Macaca mulatta: one gene and its partners. The protein of the gene in region 2 interacts with the protein of the main gene of each other region in a biochemical or structural test. Links are inferred from orthologs where the notes say so. Each region holds a gene or a part of one and is shown on either strand. Other genes may lie near its edges.

The links.
Region 1: of the proteins of NEDD4 (region 2) and AKT1, one has a biochemical effect on the other in vitro, tested with the Homo sapiens proteins (3 studies listed by BioGRID, with this or other methods). The link is inferred for Macaca mulatta from reciprocal best matches to the Homo sapiens genes NEDD4 and AKT1.
Region 3: of the proteins of NEDD4 (region 2) and SQSTM1, one has a biochemical effect on the other in vitro, tested with the Homo sapiens proteins (2 studies listed by BioGRID). The link is inferred for Macaca mulatta from reciprocal best matches to the Homo sapiens genes NEDD4 and SQSTM1.
Region 4: the proteins of NEDD4 (region 2) and HNRNPUL1 form a complex in vitro, tested with the Homo sapiens proteins (2 studies listed by BioGRID, with this or other methods). The link is inferred for Macaca mulatta from reciprocal best matches to the Homo sapiens genes NEDD4 and HNRNPUL1.

The regions. Positions count from the first base shown.
Region 1 is NC_133412.1:178,232,774-178,236,933, forward strand, and holds the start of AKT1 (RAC-alpha serine/threonine-protein kinase), read right to left. Parts: upstream 2,801-4,160; 5' UTR 2,787-2,800; intron 2,580-2,786; exon of another isoform or gene 2,101-2,579; intron 1,648-2,100; exon of another isoform or gene 1,000-1,647; intron 623-999; exon of another isoform or gene 443-622; intron 41-442; 5' UTR 1-40. UniProt on the Homo sapiens protein: AKT1 is one of 3 closely related serine/threonine-protein kinases (AKT1, AKT2 and AKT3) called the AKT kinase, and which regulate many processes including metabolism, proliferation, cell survival, growth and angiogenesis.
Region 2 is NC_133412.1:33,224,973-33,229,180, forward strand, and holds the start of NEDD4 (E3 ubiquitin-protein ligase NEDD4), read right to left. Parts: upstream 2,801-4,208; 5' UTR 1,788-2,800; coding exon 240-1,787; intron 1-239. UniProt on the Homo sapiens protein: E3 ubiquitin-protein ligase which accepts ubiquitin from an E2 ubiquitin-conjugating enzyme in the form of a thioester and then directly transfers the ubiquitin to targeted substrates. Specifically ubiquitinates 'Lys-63' in target proteins.
Region 3 is NC_133411.1:188,804,053-188,808,051, forward strand, and holds the start of SQSTM1 (sequestosome-1), read left to right. Parts: upstream 1-1,199; 5' UTR 1,200-1,296; intron 1,297-1,879; coding exon of another isoform or gene 1,880-2,375; exon of another isoform or gene 2,376-2,652; intron 2,653-2,741; exon of another isoform or gene 2,742-2,979; intron 2,980-3,999. Other genes in the region: MGAT4B (alpha-1,3-mannosyl-glycoprotein 4-beta-N-acetylglucosaminyltransferase B), read right to left, coding at 1,880-2,375. UniProt on the Homo sapiens protein: Molecular adapter required for selective macroautophagy (aggrephagy) by acting as a bridge between polyubiquitinated proteins and autophagosomes.
Region 4 is NC_133424.1:52,406,366-52,410,471, forward strand, and holds the start of HNRNPUL1 (heterogeneous nuclear ribonucleoprotein U-like protein 1), read left to right. Parts: upstream 1-1,306; 5' UTR 1,307-1,392; coding exon 1,393-1,687; intron 1,688-1,861; exon of another isoform or gene 1,862-2,055; intron 2,056-4,106.

The sequences.
Region 1 (4,160 bases), about 150 Mb from region 2:
GGCTGGCGCTCCCCAAGCCCAGCTGGCCTGGCCACAGCCTCTGGGAGAAGCAAAGGAAGCTGAGTGTGAGGCCATGCCAGGCTAAGGGAAGCTCCTCGCCCAGGGTGAGTCGGAGACCCACTGCACGTGCCTGGGGGCTCCACCTGCACCTGCCTTCCCAGGTGGGCTGCCATCCCTCTAGGCTCTCTGACCCCCAACTGCCGGCCTGCCTTACCTCCCCCCAAAACACTCATAGCTGCCAAGTGTAAAATCCACGTAATTGAACACAGTTCCCTGGACCTGGGCCTCTCCTCATTCTAGGCTGAGTCCCCAGCCCCTGCCACCACTCCCCTCAACAACCTGGCCCTGAGAGCTGCTGCCTTGCTCACCTCCCCATTCCCACCTCCCTGAGCCTTTGGACAAATCATCCCCATCCCCAAAAGGCCTTCCCAGCCTGCCTAACCTGATGCACCAGCTGACAGGCTGCCTCCTCCAGGCAGTCCCTTTGAGACTTATTTGACCTAGGCTGGCTCTGCCTTCCCTAAGCCCCTGGTGACAGATGGCCCCGTTTGCTCTCCCTGTCCATGGTGTTCCTACCCATGGATCCTGGGACAGGGAACAGGGCTCCTCCCTGCTCCCCAGACTAGGAAAGCAAAGAAATTCAAACATGAAGAAGACTGGACCAGGATACAGGCCACTGGCGCAAACGGCAGCCCAGAGCCCTCCAGGGCGAGCCCAAAAACCTCCTGGGAGAAACCCCAGGCCCCTCCTAAACCACAGCGCCCCTGCCGGTCTGAATCTGGTTCATTCATTTGGCCAACGTGTACCAGGCGTCTCTGGCTTTGCCAGGCCCAGTGCTGGGCGCTGGAGACAAAGAGAGGTTCAGACAAGTCGGTCAGTGAGGAGCACCCAGTCCAGGGTGGTTACAGACCCATAATTACAGCAGTCGGGAGGCAGCAAGTAAGTGGGGGAGCACTGGACAGGCCCCTACCCTGCAGTGGCCCACCAGCCAGCCCTCACCTGAGCACACTTTATCCATTGATCCTGCATGGCTTCCTCATTTCCCCTCTGATAGATGAACTCCTAGGCATCCCTCAAAACCCAGTTCCCACATCACCAACTCCTGGCATCCCGAGAAAGAGCACTTGGCATGCTCTTCCTGTGAGCAGTCCTCTGCTACCCTTCCAGACGGGCCTTCCTGAGGGGAGGAGGGTCCTCTCTGGGACCTCCAGGCCAGGCAGAGATACCTGACGACCTCTGTGGAATGGACCCCAACATGGGTCTTTCCACAGTCAGCCAAGATGCTCTCCCGCCAGGCAACCTTTCTGGCCTCCTGAGGCCTGGGCTGGACACCCACAGAGGGGTGCTTTGCACTGACTGTCTTAAGCTACATTTAGAATGGCAGGAAGGCCCACTGCCTCGTGTCTAATGCCAGGACAGGGAAGACTACACCTTGCTCAAAGAGGGAAATGCCCCAAGTACTCAGCAGGATGGAAAGCAGGCCAGACCTGAGGAGGGCAGGGCTCCCAGCCGCGCACGCCTCAGGCACAGGGGGCTCTGACGACAGAGTGGGCGTGGCCTGGAGGCAGAGGGCTGGACTCAAAGACCTCTGGATGTCCCCCCACCCCCCACCAGGGCCTGCGTCCCTCCAAGGCCTGCTGCTGACAGAGTCAGACAGCTGTCCAGAGCCATGTGTAAAAATACATCTGTGCACACACAGGGTGGTGTACGTCTGCACAGAAACATATACACCAGGCCAGTACAGGGCTGCCTGTGGAGGCGGAGGGACCCCAACTTCCCACAGCCTCCGTACCTGCCACCTGCCTTTACCATAAGCACATATTCTTGCTGCTGTTATTATTTAAGTCACAACTTAAAAAAAAAAAATACTCTGTGTTTCGAAAGGGTTCCTCCATCTGCCTCCAGAACCCTGGTGTATGAGAAGTCTATACAGCTCCGGGGAGAGGGAACCGGGCCTCCACCAATGCACTCCGCCCTTTGCTTGGATGAGGGACTCAAAGCAGTCAAGAAGTGGCCACCTGGAGCAAGGCCAAGAGACCCAGGAGTGAATGTGGGGCGGCCTCTGGCTACAGAGCAGGGGCCCAAGCCAACCCCGCTTACCACAGCAGCACTCAGGGGCCGTCCCGACAGGACCAAGGCTCGCTAGCGCCCCAGGATACTCAATCTAAGGGGCAAGCCCCAGCTGCCCTCTAAGCCTCGGCCTCTGGGACGAGCAGGCAGGACCTCCAGGGCCCACCCAAGACAGGAAGCAGTTCCGGGGCCCAGGAGGGTCAGTCCTTTGTGGCTAGCCTGGGTACCCCGCCACCACGTACAACTTTTTGTCCGTGGGAAATGAAGTCTCCTTCCGGGGCCCTCCCACAAACTTGAAGGCCGGCCGCGGCGAGCCTTTCTCCTAACCCCGGGGCACCTCCGCCGGCTGTCTCGCTGGCCCAACGCCCGGGGAGCCCCACGGCCCGCAGGGGCACCCCAAGCCCCAGCCCCAGGCCCGGCAGCGCCCCTTCTCCCGGGCCCCGGCCTCGCCGGGTGGAGCGGCCTCCCCAAGGTCATGAGGGAGGCTGGGGCCGGCAGCCTGCACCCCTGGCGCCCGGCGTGGGGCCGCCCTCCCTTGGCCGGGCCCGCGCGCCCCGCGCCCTCCCCGCCCAGGCCCGCTCGGCCACTTCCTGCTCCCGCTCCTCCATTCTGGCGGCGCCGCGGCTCGCGCCCCGGCCCGACCGGCCGGGAACAAAGCGGCCCGGCCCGCGGGGAGGAAATCCGGGCCCGGGCGGCCGCGGCGGGCGGGGACTCACCGGGCCGCCGCGTCCGAGCGCGAGCGCGGGCCTAGCCGGGCCGCGGCCTCCGGCGCCCGCCGCTCCGCATCCCCGCGGGCCGGCGCTGGGCGGGGCCGGGCTGGAGGCCGCGGCGGGCAGGGGCGCTGCTCGGGGCCGGGCCTCGCGTGCTGCTGCCGCTCGGTGCCCGGTGCCCGGCGCTCGGTGCTTGGCCGCCTGCTCCCGTCCTTCGGGCCGCGCTGGCTGCGCTGGGCCGGCCGCCTGCCGCGCTCGGTCCTGCCGCCGCCGCCGGCCCGCCCTCTCCCCGCCCCGCGCCCGCCCCGCGCCCGGAGCCGCCCGCCCACATCCGCCTCCGCCGCCCGGGGCGTCCCCACCGCGCGGCCGCCCGGGCCCGCGGCGAGGGCGGAGCGCGCCCGGGAAGCGCGCGGCTGGGCTGAGGGGCGGCCCCCGGCGGCCTAGGGCCTGGGCTGGGCCGCTAACGGAGCCCGGCCACCAGCCAGCCCGTCCCGGGGCCACGCCTTCTCTGGCCTCAGTTTCCCCATCTGTAAAGTGACCCGGCGCTTCTGGACTCGCTCTGCCCTGACCCTACTAGACCAGGCCCGAGACCGGTCAGGGACGAATCCCGGACTTCTGCCTCCACTGCGCGGGGCGGGGGTGGGTTAGGTTGACTTTCAGGCCGTGCCCCACCTATGCACTGCCCCACTCTGGGGGGCGTGGAGGGGACGGCCAAGAGTGTCCTAAAAGGCCCAATCCCAGGACCTTGTGCCTCTGGGGGAAGTGCGGAGGTCAGTTGGAGGTGTGCCTCCAAGGAGCGGGAAGGCTCCGAGGGGACTCAACCATTCACCTAGGTACTGGCAGCTACACTCACAAAAGGGAGACTTTGCTGGGGAGTGGGAGAAGAGGGGCACACCTTGCCTGGGTCCCACCTTGAGCTGGGAGCAGACACCAGACAGAGGAGGAGCGGTGTCTAGGGTGGGCTGTGACAGCTGAGAGCCCAGGACCCTCCCTGCTGGGTGGACTTGGTCAGCCCCGACACCCAGTCCGAAGTCCACTGGGAGGCAGATGGCCCCAGTATGGAGTGAGTGAATGGGACATAGACCCCCTTCTCCTGCACACTCACAGGACGATGCAGGTGACTGCCACCCCGACCCCTTCCCAGCCAGAAGTTCCTCCAACAACTGCCCCTCCCCCATTCCAGAGGCCCACAGTTGATAATAACCCTTTTGTGAAAGAGGGACTCTTGTGAGTTAACCTTCCTGAGGCTAAGTATTGGGGTGGGGGGAGCATTTTTATTTTCAGCCTGAGTGACTTCAGCTGGCAGCAGGGGAGGGGGTGGGAGGAGATGTAGACAGAGGCAGCAGGTTCGGCCCAGTGCTCAGGACAGAGTCTGCAGCC
Region 2 (4,208 bases):
ACTTCGGAAGATTTTTAAAAATACACATTTTGCACACTGGTAAAATAACAAATACAGTAAAAAACTATACATAGGGTTCTTCAGATTTACAAATATAAAATTTATGACTACAAAGTACTGCTAGCTAAGGACCAGGAAAATATATAAAACTGCTTGGTTATAACAATAAATTTTCTCCAAATATTTCATTAAGTTATTCTTGTATAAATTAATATTTACCAAGATCAAAGGAAACTTACCTTGCAAGAATTAGACAGTTCATTTGTGCAATCTCTGTTGCTGTCTCTTGATAAATTATCCACTTTACCTTCATTTCCAGATGCAAACTTTATGAGTAACTGAGATGGTCCCCCTTTAGAACAATTGTGCTTAAGGCTGGATAGACAGGAAATATTTGGATAAGCTCCTCCCAATGAAATACTTCTTTGTAAAATACCATGGTTTTTGTTCATCTGTGAATTTGGTCTTTCCAATTCTCCATTGATATTTATTTGATAATCTACATTTTGGGAGGATGGCAAACATGCAGATGTCCTATGCGTGAGCTTAATATACTCTGAATCAGAATTAAGCTTAATTTCTGACATTTCTGGTTTACAATCACCATTTGTTGTTTCACAATCTAATGTAGTTGTTTTTTGTTGGGTGAAATGCACTGAAACACAAGAATATCCTTCAGATGACTTTTCACAGACAGTCTGTTTGGGAGTATTATTCGAAAGAACAATTTTCTTCTGTAACGAGCCCTTCCTGTGAAGCGGACGTATGTCTCTTACTTCTCCGGGGGTACAAATTGTTTTAGATAACCGAAGTCCATTGACAGCTGTTGAAAGAAATCCTTTAGCACCAGTGCCACCCTCATTATGTGCAATTTCACTAGGAGAAATAATAAACTGGTGTGAAGTTTGATAGGATCCTTTGCTCAGAAGAGTACATGGACTTGTTGGAGAAGTCGGTGGGGTATTTGAAGGACTCCTAGGAAAAATGACTAAGGAGGAGCAACGTTTTAGTGGAATTTTTGTGTTCCTGCTCACTGGCAATTTCATAATCTCTAATCCATGTTCCAAGTCATCCTGGACAAAAGGATCTGTACTTGTACTTCTCGAAAAAATTTCACATGGAGTAGTATTCCTGTTTGGCACAATTCCACTGGAGGTGCTGTCAGAAGGTAAGTTTCCACCCAAAAAAGTATCATCACTTGGTGGCAACGTATAACTACTACTGTCACTGATGACACTGTTAGTGTATGAACCTCCACTTGTGATACTTGCACATGACCCGAAATCACTACCGTTGCTGCTGTAAGATCCATTATCACTGGTTGAAAAGTTACTAAGGCTACCACTACAAATGGCTGGACTGCTTACAAGGTTACCATCATTCACTGCATTCAATTCACTATCGACCACAGCACTGCTGTAAATACCATCCTTCAAGATACAAGTAAATGAAGCATCCTCACTATCAGCTAAGACATTGCTAGACTGAAGATATCCACTGTACCTTGTTGGCTGTAGTGAAATCTGTAGACAGCTGCTCTTTTTATTAACATTTTCAGATGAGGGAACAGACGATCTTTCTTGAGACTGAACGTTTTCCTTTATTAACGGAGCTAGTGCAGTCTGTCTGGGAGTCAGCTTCATTTGAACAACGTTAGACGCTGAAATCCGTGTTGGTCTCTTGAAGCACATGTGAACATGGCTATCCAAGTCATCTCCGGAGGTTTCTGACAAAGGGTAAGTATTGCTTCTTCTGGCTGCAAAGTGCAATCGTAAGCTTTGTGCCATTTGTTCTCATTTCCAAACATGTTAAGGGCTGAAAGTCATAACAAAGATCTCTGTCCGTAGACAGGCTAGAAGCAGCTGCACTGCATCAAAAGAAAAAATCATTTGTGGTGCCTAAAAGAGCTATTAAGTAGTAGTCTTTATCCTAAGTAAAACATTAGATACCAGATATCATAGGAAGAAAAAGACGACCCATTCCAGAGACTGACGTTTCCAAAATGTCTTGAATCGCTTGTAGTCAAAATGCCTTCACTTATAAAGCACTTGATTTCCAGCGACCTTTAAGCTGAGCTCAGCTGCAGCACACTGACTCAAACACAGCCAACCTTGTTTCAATTATACCTTCTCCAATTTGCATGAATGAGTAACACAAGAACAACAATCTTCTAACATTTCATGTTGAAACAGTATTTTTTCACCCCAGCTCTACTAAATGAACATTTAACTATGTGAATCGCAGTGCCTATACTTTCTCCAGCCAACTTTGACCACTAATATTTTTACCCATAGGTATAGAATTACAGGAAGTTGGTAGGAACGAAACCCCATGTAATTAAGTATCAAATCAAAGATTGAATTTCCAAATAGTAGTCATACTAGGAATCTAGTCAAGTTAGTTAATATAGGGACTGTTCATTTTTTTTTTTTTTAATTTGTGAATTCAAACAGTTCTGTAAATTTGGAAATACCAAAACTTTAGGATGAATTAAAACTTTAGCACTACATCAAACAGATACATATTTTAGCTTCTAAAGTGCTAATTACATAAAAAGTGAAAGCTTAAGGACAGAACTACAAAATTAACCTAGTAATACCATTGCAAAACTGAAGCATAGGTTCGAGAAAAAAAGTTTAAGAGAAGCTGTCACTAAGCATTTTCTCCTGTAATTTTAAGGCCTTTTCCAGCCAAGTAGAACAGTCTTTAAATGATGCCATTTATATTTTGACTATTAAAACTCTGCCAAGAAATAGCCTAAGCAAACATTCCAATAAAAATATATGCAGATTAGAAAAAAGAAAACTATACTCCAAGATAGTTTGAACACATAGGATATTTTATTCCACTGTCTCTGCAATTCATTCACTTAACAGAGTGTTGTGGTAAGTAAAGAAGTCTAAAAAGGATTTAACACATCAAATAAACATATCTCAATGCCAATTCTGTTCTGAAAAACTCTAAGAGCTCTTTGCTGGCCCCTGCTGGTGCTTTGAAACAATCCATTTAGCTGTTTGATATCTATAAAGAAATACAAACCAAGCTGTACATTTCTTTATATAAACAAAGTACATACTTGTTTATATTTTTGAGAGCTAGCCCTGCCCTAGAGGTGGAATTACTCAGCAGTGCTGATAAAGCTTCCACAGTAGAGAACAGTGGACTGTTTGTCCTTTTAGAGGTTGTGATTTTGTATATATTTTTTCTGCTTTGTATTTATTTAACCTTTATTTTCAGTTTACTGGGTAATAAAAATTTAATATTTTAATTTCTCTCCCAAATGCCATAGACCAAGGTTGGTATTCTATTTGAAAGAAACAAATTTATTTTTAAATAATACTCTAGGGTATATTTAAACCCCTTACCTAAATTTTATAGCTGGAACTCCAGTAATAAATATATACTGGCTCATTCATAGGAAAGTAAAAGGTAAAATAGTTCCGTTGTTTATACCACATGCTACTACACCCAAGTTGTATTTTTCTAAGTAAGTTTTTTTTCCTAAGTAAAAGCAAATATGTAAAACATATACTTTGTTTTAAAAAAACTGCTTAAGATACATCTGTTTTCGATCAGAATTTTCTAAACAGATATTTAATCAATTAAGACACAACAAAATAGAATTATGGGAATTTATTGAATTATATTTGACTAGAATGAAACATCATTGTGTTTTCAAATGTGTACAATAATTGGAAATTTAGTAATACAATTATGATGTTATTTTGGTTTTGTATAACCTATCTCCTTTAAGATTTTACAGACTTCAGTCAATATTCCCTTAACATCTTTTTCTTTTAAATAAGGAGGAGTCCTGTTTTACTCTGCCTTCAAATGACTTCAGCTTGCTTTCTGGGATTAAGTGTGGGGTCTAATAACTCAAAGAATGAATCCCTTCTAATAGGCTAATCAATGAGATCTAATTGTTCGTGCCTGTGGCCTACAACTTCCTGGAAATAAGAAAAGCTCCTCTGATTATTAACATATAAAATAATGAGCTCCAAGTATTTGGCCAGATAAATGTCTTCTCTTTGATAAGCTTCACTATAAGCATCAGTTCCATGTCCCCTAACTAGATTTTAACTTTCCGGAGGGCATGGACCGTAACTACACGGTTCTTCTGAGGCTCCTGAGCTTGTCCTGGGCACAAAGTAAGTACCAAGAGACACCAGAGAGAAGTCTGGATGGATGGATGGTGTCACCACAGG
Region 3 (3,999 bases), on a different chromosome or scaffold from region 2:
GGGAAAAGGAACAGGATCAGAGGGGCATGGGCAGGTATCAGGCCGTTAACAGTCTGCTGTCACCATGCATGTGTGCGGCAGATGTCTGTCTCCTCTCCAGACCCTGCACCCTCCCAGGAGTCAAGGAGGGTGTCTGTCATTGCTGAGGTCCAGGCCTGGGGAGGAGGACAGCCTGGAGGCTGGGAGAGCTGTGTGGCTGAGACCCTGGGCCACCCGCAAGGGTCTGCCTCCCTGGGCAGATCCTCAGCAGGTGCTTGGCTGAAGGCCACAGTTTGAGTGCTGGCAGAGCTGCTCCACAGGCCAGATATGAAACTGGGCCCCAAACCCTTCTCCAGGGTCCATTTTGCATTAGTCTAAAGAGGCCGTCCTGGGCTTGACCTTGGGCTTCCAGGATGACGCCCGCACCTGCTGTCCTTCCTCTCTGGTTCCCTGCCCATCTCCTTCCTTCTCTGCAGATTCCACTTCCTGGGTTCTTCCCTCAAGTTCCTGGACCCCCGCTGGCTGCAAAGTGGAGGCCAGGTTCCAATTTGGCCTCAGACTGGCTAAGCCTGGTTTCGCCAGGGGCTTAAGACAGACTTTCTACATGTGACAATGAGATGGGTTCACATAATAGCCTGGATTCCTAGCTTCACTGAGTCACCACAGAAACAGTGACAGCCCCTCAACAAGGCAGGCCTAGGTCACCCCCTACTCATGCCTCACAGGATCCTTAGGCTTCCCTCCCCTAGGGGCTGGGTCCTTGAATCTAAGCGCTCCCCTTCTTAGCTCTCCTGTTCCCCAGGCCCTCAAAGAGCCAGCCTCCCGGATGCCCCCACGGAGCCAGCGCCTCTCCCTCACTCTGCTGTCCCGGAGACTGGCTCCCTGTGGTAAGCCAGGCTTGCAGAGGTGGCTCCTGACATCAATCTGGCGGCATGTGGCTGCTGTGGGAGACACACACTGGCTGAGGACAAAGGGCAAGGGCTCATGGCTCTACCCACGACTGGAAGAGTGTGCCCCAGCCCTTCAGATAAGGCCCCACCTAGGCCTTCATGCCAGTCTGCTAGTCACCCTGCCAAGGACCCAGAATGTCCTTCCCCAGGTGACACACCCTACCTACAGATAATTCTGCCCCAGTCATGCCTGCCCTTGATAATATACGCCACCACCGGGGCCTCTGCCCCAGCCCTCCCTCCCCTGTCCTGCAGTCTCCCCGCAGAGTCCCTGGGTGATGGGGCTCTGGCCCTGGAGCCCCAAGGCCAGCCCAGGCCTCTGCTCTGACAGAACAAGTGCGGCAGGCGGGCGCGCTGGCAGAGCTCGGTGAGGGTAGCTGAGGCTCGGAAGGTCCGGAAGGGTCCAGGTCCTCCCAGCCTCCTCAGCCTCTCTGGGGTGGCGCTCCGGGACAGGGAAACAGGGAAGCAGGTGGCAGGGAGGCCAAGGGGGCAGGTAGCCTCAGCCCGCTTAGGCCTCCAGCAGGCAGGCAGGCAGGAGGCCACTCTCCCAGAACCTCCAGGCTAGGGGAAGAGCGCCTCGGAGGGCTCAGGCCCTACTCGGCCCCACCATCGCCAAGACCGGTCAGGGGGGCGGGGGGCGGGGGGTCGGTCTGCACCCTCCGCCTGCAAGAGCGCTGGGCGGACGCGGAGGGCGGGGGCCAGCCCGGGAAGCTCGGGGTGCGGGGGAGGGGCTGGGGCCGCACAGGAGCGCAGGGCAGCAGTGGCCGGGCTGGCTCAGGACGCCTCTCCCTCCCTCCCCCGCTCCCATAGGCCGGATGCTGCCGAGGCGTTCCGGGCGCCCGGGGGTCGGCGAGGGAGACCCAGGACCGGGTGTCACGCCGGGGTCGCCCAGGCCGGCGCGGGGCTGCGGGAGGCAGGGTCGGGGGAGGGCGGGTGGGGGGATGCCTGACCGCCTAGCGGTGCCCTCGCGCCTGTGTCCCTCACGCCGGCCCAGGTCCTGCCCAAGTGGCTGTGGCTGGCGTTCCGGGACCTCTGTGACCTTGGGTCTGTGCCGAGACCCCCACGGGTCCCCAGCTCAGCTGCGCCCGCGGAGTCCGGTCCGGGGCACCCACGGGCGCGGCCAGCGCTGGGCGGGCAGGCGCAGCCCGGGCCCGAGGAGGACGCCGCGGCTCCAGCAGCAAACAAGTGGGGGAGGGTGGGAGGGGCGTCCTCCGCGCCGCCCGGGCGGGGAAGGGGCGCCTGCGTCGGCTTCCGGCCGCCTCCCGCGGCCACCGCCGGGCCCGCTCCCGCCGCCGACGCCCAGGTGCGCCAGGTGCGGGCCGGGCCGGTCGGGCGGGGGTCGCGCTTACCTTTCTGGCCGCTGAGTGCCGCGTACCAGGACAGCGAGAGGAAGGCGCACAGGCAGAAGAGCAGCAGCGTCAGGAAGGTGCCATTGCGGAGCCTCATCTCCTCCGATGCGCGGCGGGCGCCCGCGGGGCCGAGGCTGCATGGCCCGGGGAACCGGGGCCGGGGCGCAGGGGTCGGAAGGCGGCGGCTGCAGGGGCCCCGGCCCCGGGGCGGGGAGGGGCGGGGGGGCCGGGGCCGGGCAGGGACCGGGCCGGGGAGCGCGCCTGCCGCTTCTCAGGGCGCAAGCTTTGTGCCCTGTACTCAGGGAAAAGGAACAGGCTCAGAGGAGCAGAGGCAGATATCAGGCTCACTGCAGGTATCAGGGGCGCGGGACACTGGCGGCCTCGCCTCCGCGGCAGGGCCGGGCCAGGCCGGGCTGGGCTGGGCTGGGCGGCGAGAGCCGCGGCCCGGCCTGGATCTGGGGCCTGGATCTGGGGCCGCCGCGGAGTCGACGGCGCAGGGCGGGGCGGCCCGGATTTAAAGGGGCCGCAGCACCGCCGCCGCCAGCGCCGCGAGGGGCGGGGTGGGGGCCGGCGCCCGTGATCCCGACCGGCTCCCGCAGCCCCGCTTGGGCTCGTGCGAGTCGGCCTTAGGTAAGGCCGGAGTGGGAGTGCGGGTCGACCGCAGCCGGCGCGGGCGGCGGGGGCGGCGCTCTCGGGCCCAGGTACTCTTCTCGGCAACATCTCCTCCGCGCGCGGACCCCGACCCCACTCGCACGTTCTCTGGGCTGTTTCCCGAGCGTGAGGGGCTCTGGGTGGCGCGGGGGACTGGGCGCTTGGAGGGGACTGGGCGCTTGGAGCCGGGAGCCACCGTTGCCTTCGGCGCCGCCCAGGGCGCTTTCCCGCTCAGGAGCTTCCTCTGGGGCGCGGGACTGAGACGCACAGGGGCCCGGGAGGCGGGAACAATGGGCCGTTCTAGGGGGAATCAGGGCCAATGCTCGTGGGTGCAGAGGAATGACCAGCCCAGAACCGGACCGGCTTCCCGGGACAGTGGCGGCCCAAGCGCGCCGCTTACGGGAGCAACGGGCCCTGCTCCCGGTGGTGCAGCGGCCACCTCGCCCCGCGCAGCCCAGCCGGCTCTTGATAGGGGCCCACGCCTTCGGATTTTTGTGGGTTTTTTTTTTTGAGACAGAGTCTCGCTCTGTCGCCCAGGCTGGAGTGCAATGGCGCGATCTCGGCTCACTGCGATCTCAGCCTCCGGAGTAGCCGGGATTACAGGCGCCCGGCTAATTTTTTTTCTTTCTTTTTTTTTTTTTTTAAGACTTTGGGCAGCGCCTGGCCCGCTCCCAGCTTGGACCTCCCAGTCCTAGGGGCCCGGTTCCGGGTGGAGGCTGCAGGGACCTCTGCCCCGCCCGCTCGGGGGAGGCCTGAGGGGCTGGACTCAGACTGGGAGTGAATGCAGCTTTGTCTTCCTAGTCCAGCCCCGGCCCACACCTGGGGCTGGGTGGAATCGGGAGCTTCTACGGGTCTGGACAATTCTCCCACAGAGAGATTGATGCCAAGAAGTGGGTGGCCGAGCCAGAGGCCGAGGTGGGCTGGATCCTGAGGCCCAGTGTTAAAGGACAGGGCTCCCCATTCAGTGCTCCTGGAACATTCCGAACTAGAGACTGGGACTTGTAGGCGCCTTCTAGAGGAAACTCGTGTTTTCACAGGTGTCTTCTATGTGTGGCAAAGGATAATGGCTT
Region 4 (4,106 bases), on a different chromosome or scaffold from region 2:
TTGTTTACGTCTGCGGGGTGTGCCTTTGTCTAAGTAGAGATGGTGTGTGGCTTCTGCGGGCTTAACGTGTGGCTCAGGAGGCAGTGGGCGTCTGCATCATGTATCCCGATTGCGTCTTACTCGAGTTTTGTTTTCTGAGTTAGAGGCGACAGGTGGTGCAGCATTAGACACAGGGAAGCTCTGTGGCTTTTGTATTCATGAGCGCGAAGGTTAATGACGGATCCGTGGGTTTGAGCTTGTCAATACAGACGCCAGACAGCCCGATTTACGGGAACAGCCGATTAGAGGATTGGAGAGGGCGGTCGGTGAACTTCTGGATGTCTTTCGTAAGGGGAAGGCTCTATGGTCGCGTGCAGAGCGCCCGTTCCACGTCAGGCACCGACCATAGAGCAAGGCCGCCGCGGACTACCCAAGGGAAGGGGAGGCCGTGTCCTTTACAACTAGCCTCCCGTTGTTAGTCTAGTCTCTATAGTCAAACCTTCGGGACTCTCTAAAGTCAAAATTTTGCTTTTACTAAAGGCAACTGGGTTCCTTCCAGATTACGAACTGTATATCCACTTAATATCTATTTCGTATACCTCCTCCTACAGCGAAATTTGTGAGGCAGTCCTCTGAAGCACGGCCAATCTGGGGCATTTTTCCTAAAACGAGCCATCTCTACGCTTTAGTGAGCTAAGACAATAACTGCGATTGGTGGGCAGATTGTTTTGAAACCGCCCTAACGGCAAGGGGCGGGCCCCTGGTGAATTCATCTCTTTCCGGTTTCTTAAAGGCAACAGGAAGGAGGGGTTTCTGACGACCCTCCATTTGATTGGTTCTAGTGGTTTTACCCGCTCGGACTCCTCAAGGGGCGGGAGATATACACCAATCGGAATGTGTGTTACAGAGACACTTAGTTTGATGAAAGGACTGCGCAGGAAAGGCCGTCGGACGCTCATTCTGAGATCTCACCGCTGATTGGTCCAAAGGGTTACTCCCTTATTTTCATTGGGCTTTACTGCAGCCGGCGCGCGAGAGCTACCCAATCAGCGCACGCTCCGCCTCCTGCCTTTTCCCGCCCTCCGCTCCGGCCTCGGCTTCGACGTAGGCCAACGCTTCCTACCCGGTAGCTCGTAGGCCTTCTCGTTGCCGTTGTTTTGAAAACCGCACTCTGATTGGCTAGGTTTCCGGGCCCGCGCCCGTTGCCCCATGCACTGACCAATTGGCACTCGTATTACATCGGACGAGGCACGGGTGAAGGGGGAGGCGGTGGCGGCGGCCATTTTGAGCCGCCGCCGCCATTGGAGTGGGCCCCCCCCCTTTCCCCCTTCGCCTCCTGACAGGAAAGGTTTAAGGGGGACAGAGCCCTGGGAGGCCGGGCCGGGCTCGGGGGCCACCCCGGGGGCCCGGGCCATGGATGTGCGCCGTCTGAAGGTGAACGAACTTCGCGAGGAGCTGCAGCGCCGCGGCCTGGACACTCGAGGCCTCAAGGCCGAGCTTGCTGAGCGGCTGCAGGCAGCGTTGGAGGCCGAGGAGCCTGACGACGAGCGGGAGCTCGAGGCCGACGACGAACCGGGGCGACCCGGGCACATCAACGAGGAGGTCGAGACCGAGGGGGGCTCCGAGCTGGAGGGGACCGCGCAGCCACCGCCGCCCGGGCTGCAGCCGCACGCGGAGCCCGGCGGCTACTCGGGGCCGGACGGACATTGTGAGAGTGCGCGGGGCGGGGGCCGGGGAGCCCGGAGCCTGGGCCGAGGAAAGGGCTGTGGGACGCGGGAGTCCAGCGCCTGAGGTCGGGGAGACGACCTGAGGATCGGGGGATCCCGCTACCCGCCGCCGAAAAGGATCTGGGGACAAGGGCCCCGGCACGACCGGAGGGTGGATCCAGACGCTCGGTGCAGGGGGCACACTGGGGGAGGGGCCTCTGGGTTTCGGAGGTGAGGGACGGGGGTGGCGGGGAGGATTCCTTACCGTAGGGATCGGAGACCGGAAACTGGTTTCTGGAGCCGAAGAGAGTCGGAAGAACAAGAGGTTTTCCATTTGGGTTGGGAGGGTCTCGAAAATGGAGATCTTGGGGTTCGGAGCTCCTTGGGCTTGGCGGCCTGGCCAGCCCAGCGTGTGGGCTGCGGGGTGGGGAGCCGTGTTTCCAGGGTGGGGAAAGAATGTCCAGGTGTGCGGGGCTGCGAGAGTTTTGAGGAAGCAGAATCCTGGAGTATGCCGCTGGATGCGATCCTGGGAGTTCTCCTATTTGCTTCGGGGGTGGGTGGGTGAGGTGGAGGCGCTGGTGTCTGTGGCTGGGGAGGGTCTAATGGACTCAGTGCTTTGGAGTTTGGCTGGTGAGCATTTAGGGGCTGCGGGAGATTGAACGAGGGGGCACCCCCATCTCTCTTCCGGGGCTGGAAGGCCACCCTTGAAGCAGGCACAGCCTGGACATTTGGTGCTGGGAGATCTGGGGACTTTCTGGTTGGCTTCTAGAAGAGGTGTAGGGAGCCCTGGTGTCCAGAGGCTGGAGGGGGAGAGGATTTTTCCCTCAACAAAGGATCTGGGGGTCTAGAGCTAAGAAGACTGAGGACAAATAACTCTGAGGCTGCTGCTGAATGGTCTAGAGCTAACTGTGGGCTTTTTGGAGAACGGGGTAGCTGCGGGTGGGATGGGGGCAGATGAGTTGGTAACATTCCAAGTGGATGAAATATGTGGCAGGAGACAGAGGATCCTGTGTCCAGCACAGAAGGAGTATGTATCTGGCTTAGCGAATATGGGGAGGGGGGAGGCTGTAGGGAGCAAAGAGAAAGAAAACCTGTTGACTTCACTGGAGGCCTCAGAGTGGAGTGTGGGGAATGTTTCTGGACCTGAGCGTCTCCCAGAGATATGGTCGGTTCCCAGAAGCAGTTATTTGTGTACCCAGGGAGTGGGGGCCTTCAGCGGGAAGCACAGAACTCTGCATCAGCCAGGAGGTGTGACTCTGGGAATGGGTTCGGGTAGATCTGCGGTTGTCTGAGGAGAGGAAACCCTGGTATAGGACGGAGTGAATCTTCAGTTAGAAAAAAGCAACTTTCGGGCCGGGTGCAGTGGCTCACGCCTGTAATCCCAGCACTTTGGGAGGCCGAGGCGGGCGGATCACAAGGTCAGGAGTTCAAGACCAGCCGGGCCAACATAGTGAAACCCCATCACCCGTCTCTACTAAAAATACAAAAATTAGCCGGGCGTGGTGGTGGGCGCCTGTAGTCCCAGCTACTTGGGAGGCTGAGGCAGAAGAATCGCTTGAACCTGGGAGGGGGAGGTTGTGGTCAGCCGAGATTATGCCATTACACTCCAGCCTGGGCAACAAGAGTGAAACTTTGTCTCAAAAAAGGAAAAGGAGCTTGCTTTCTTTCTCTTTTTTAAAAATACAGATGGGGTCTCGCTATGTTGCCCAGGCTGGTCTTGAACTCCTGGGTTCAAGTGATCTGCTCACCTCAGCCTCCTGAAGTGCTGGGATTACAGGCATGAATCACTGCACCAGGCCTCAGGGCAGGTTTCTAGTAGGACTGGGAAATGGGGGGACTGGAAAGGTTAAGGAGTAAGTAGAAGGGATTCTGGCGTAAGAATTTGTGGAGTTTTTCCGAAAAGAGGGCACCATGGGACTTGGGGCTAAGGGAATGAGGACAGAAATGAGGTAACAGTGGAGACAAGATTTGGGATTGGCATTGGATACTTGTTCATAAGAGATAGAGTTTCCCGGAGGGAGATAACTCGAGTGTGGATTTGGGATAGGCAATGGCCTAGAGATTATCTAGGATCCAGGTGCTGGAAAGAGAACTTCCCATTGCAGAGACTTGTGAAGAAAGGAGTGGGCCTGTGTGTGTGTGTCTAGAGCAGGAGGGACCGTGGCAGGAATGCCTAGCAAGAAAGGGTAGTGGGGTAGTAGTTACCTGGTGGTCTGGCCAGAGAGTCGTCTCTGAGAGGAAAGCGAATTAGGTGCTTTGGAGCGTAGATTCTAGACTCAGACAGACTTCGTTTCAAATCTGGCTTAAAGATATTGGCAAGTCACTTCATCTCTGTGAGCCTGGTTTCCTTACGTGTAAAATGGGGTTAATCAACAAATAGTGTGTTCGCTCTAGCCCCCGGGGGTGTTATGAATGAAATCG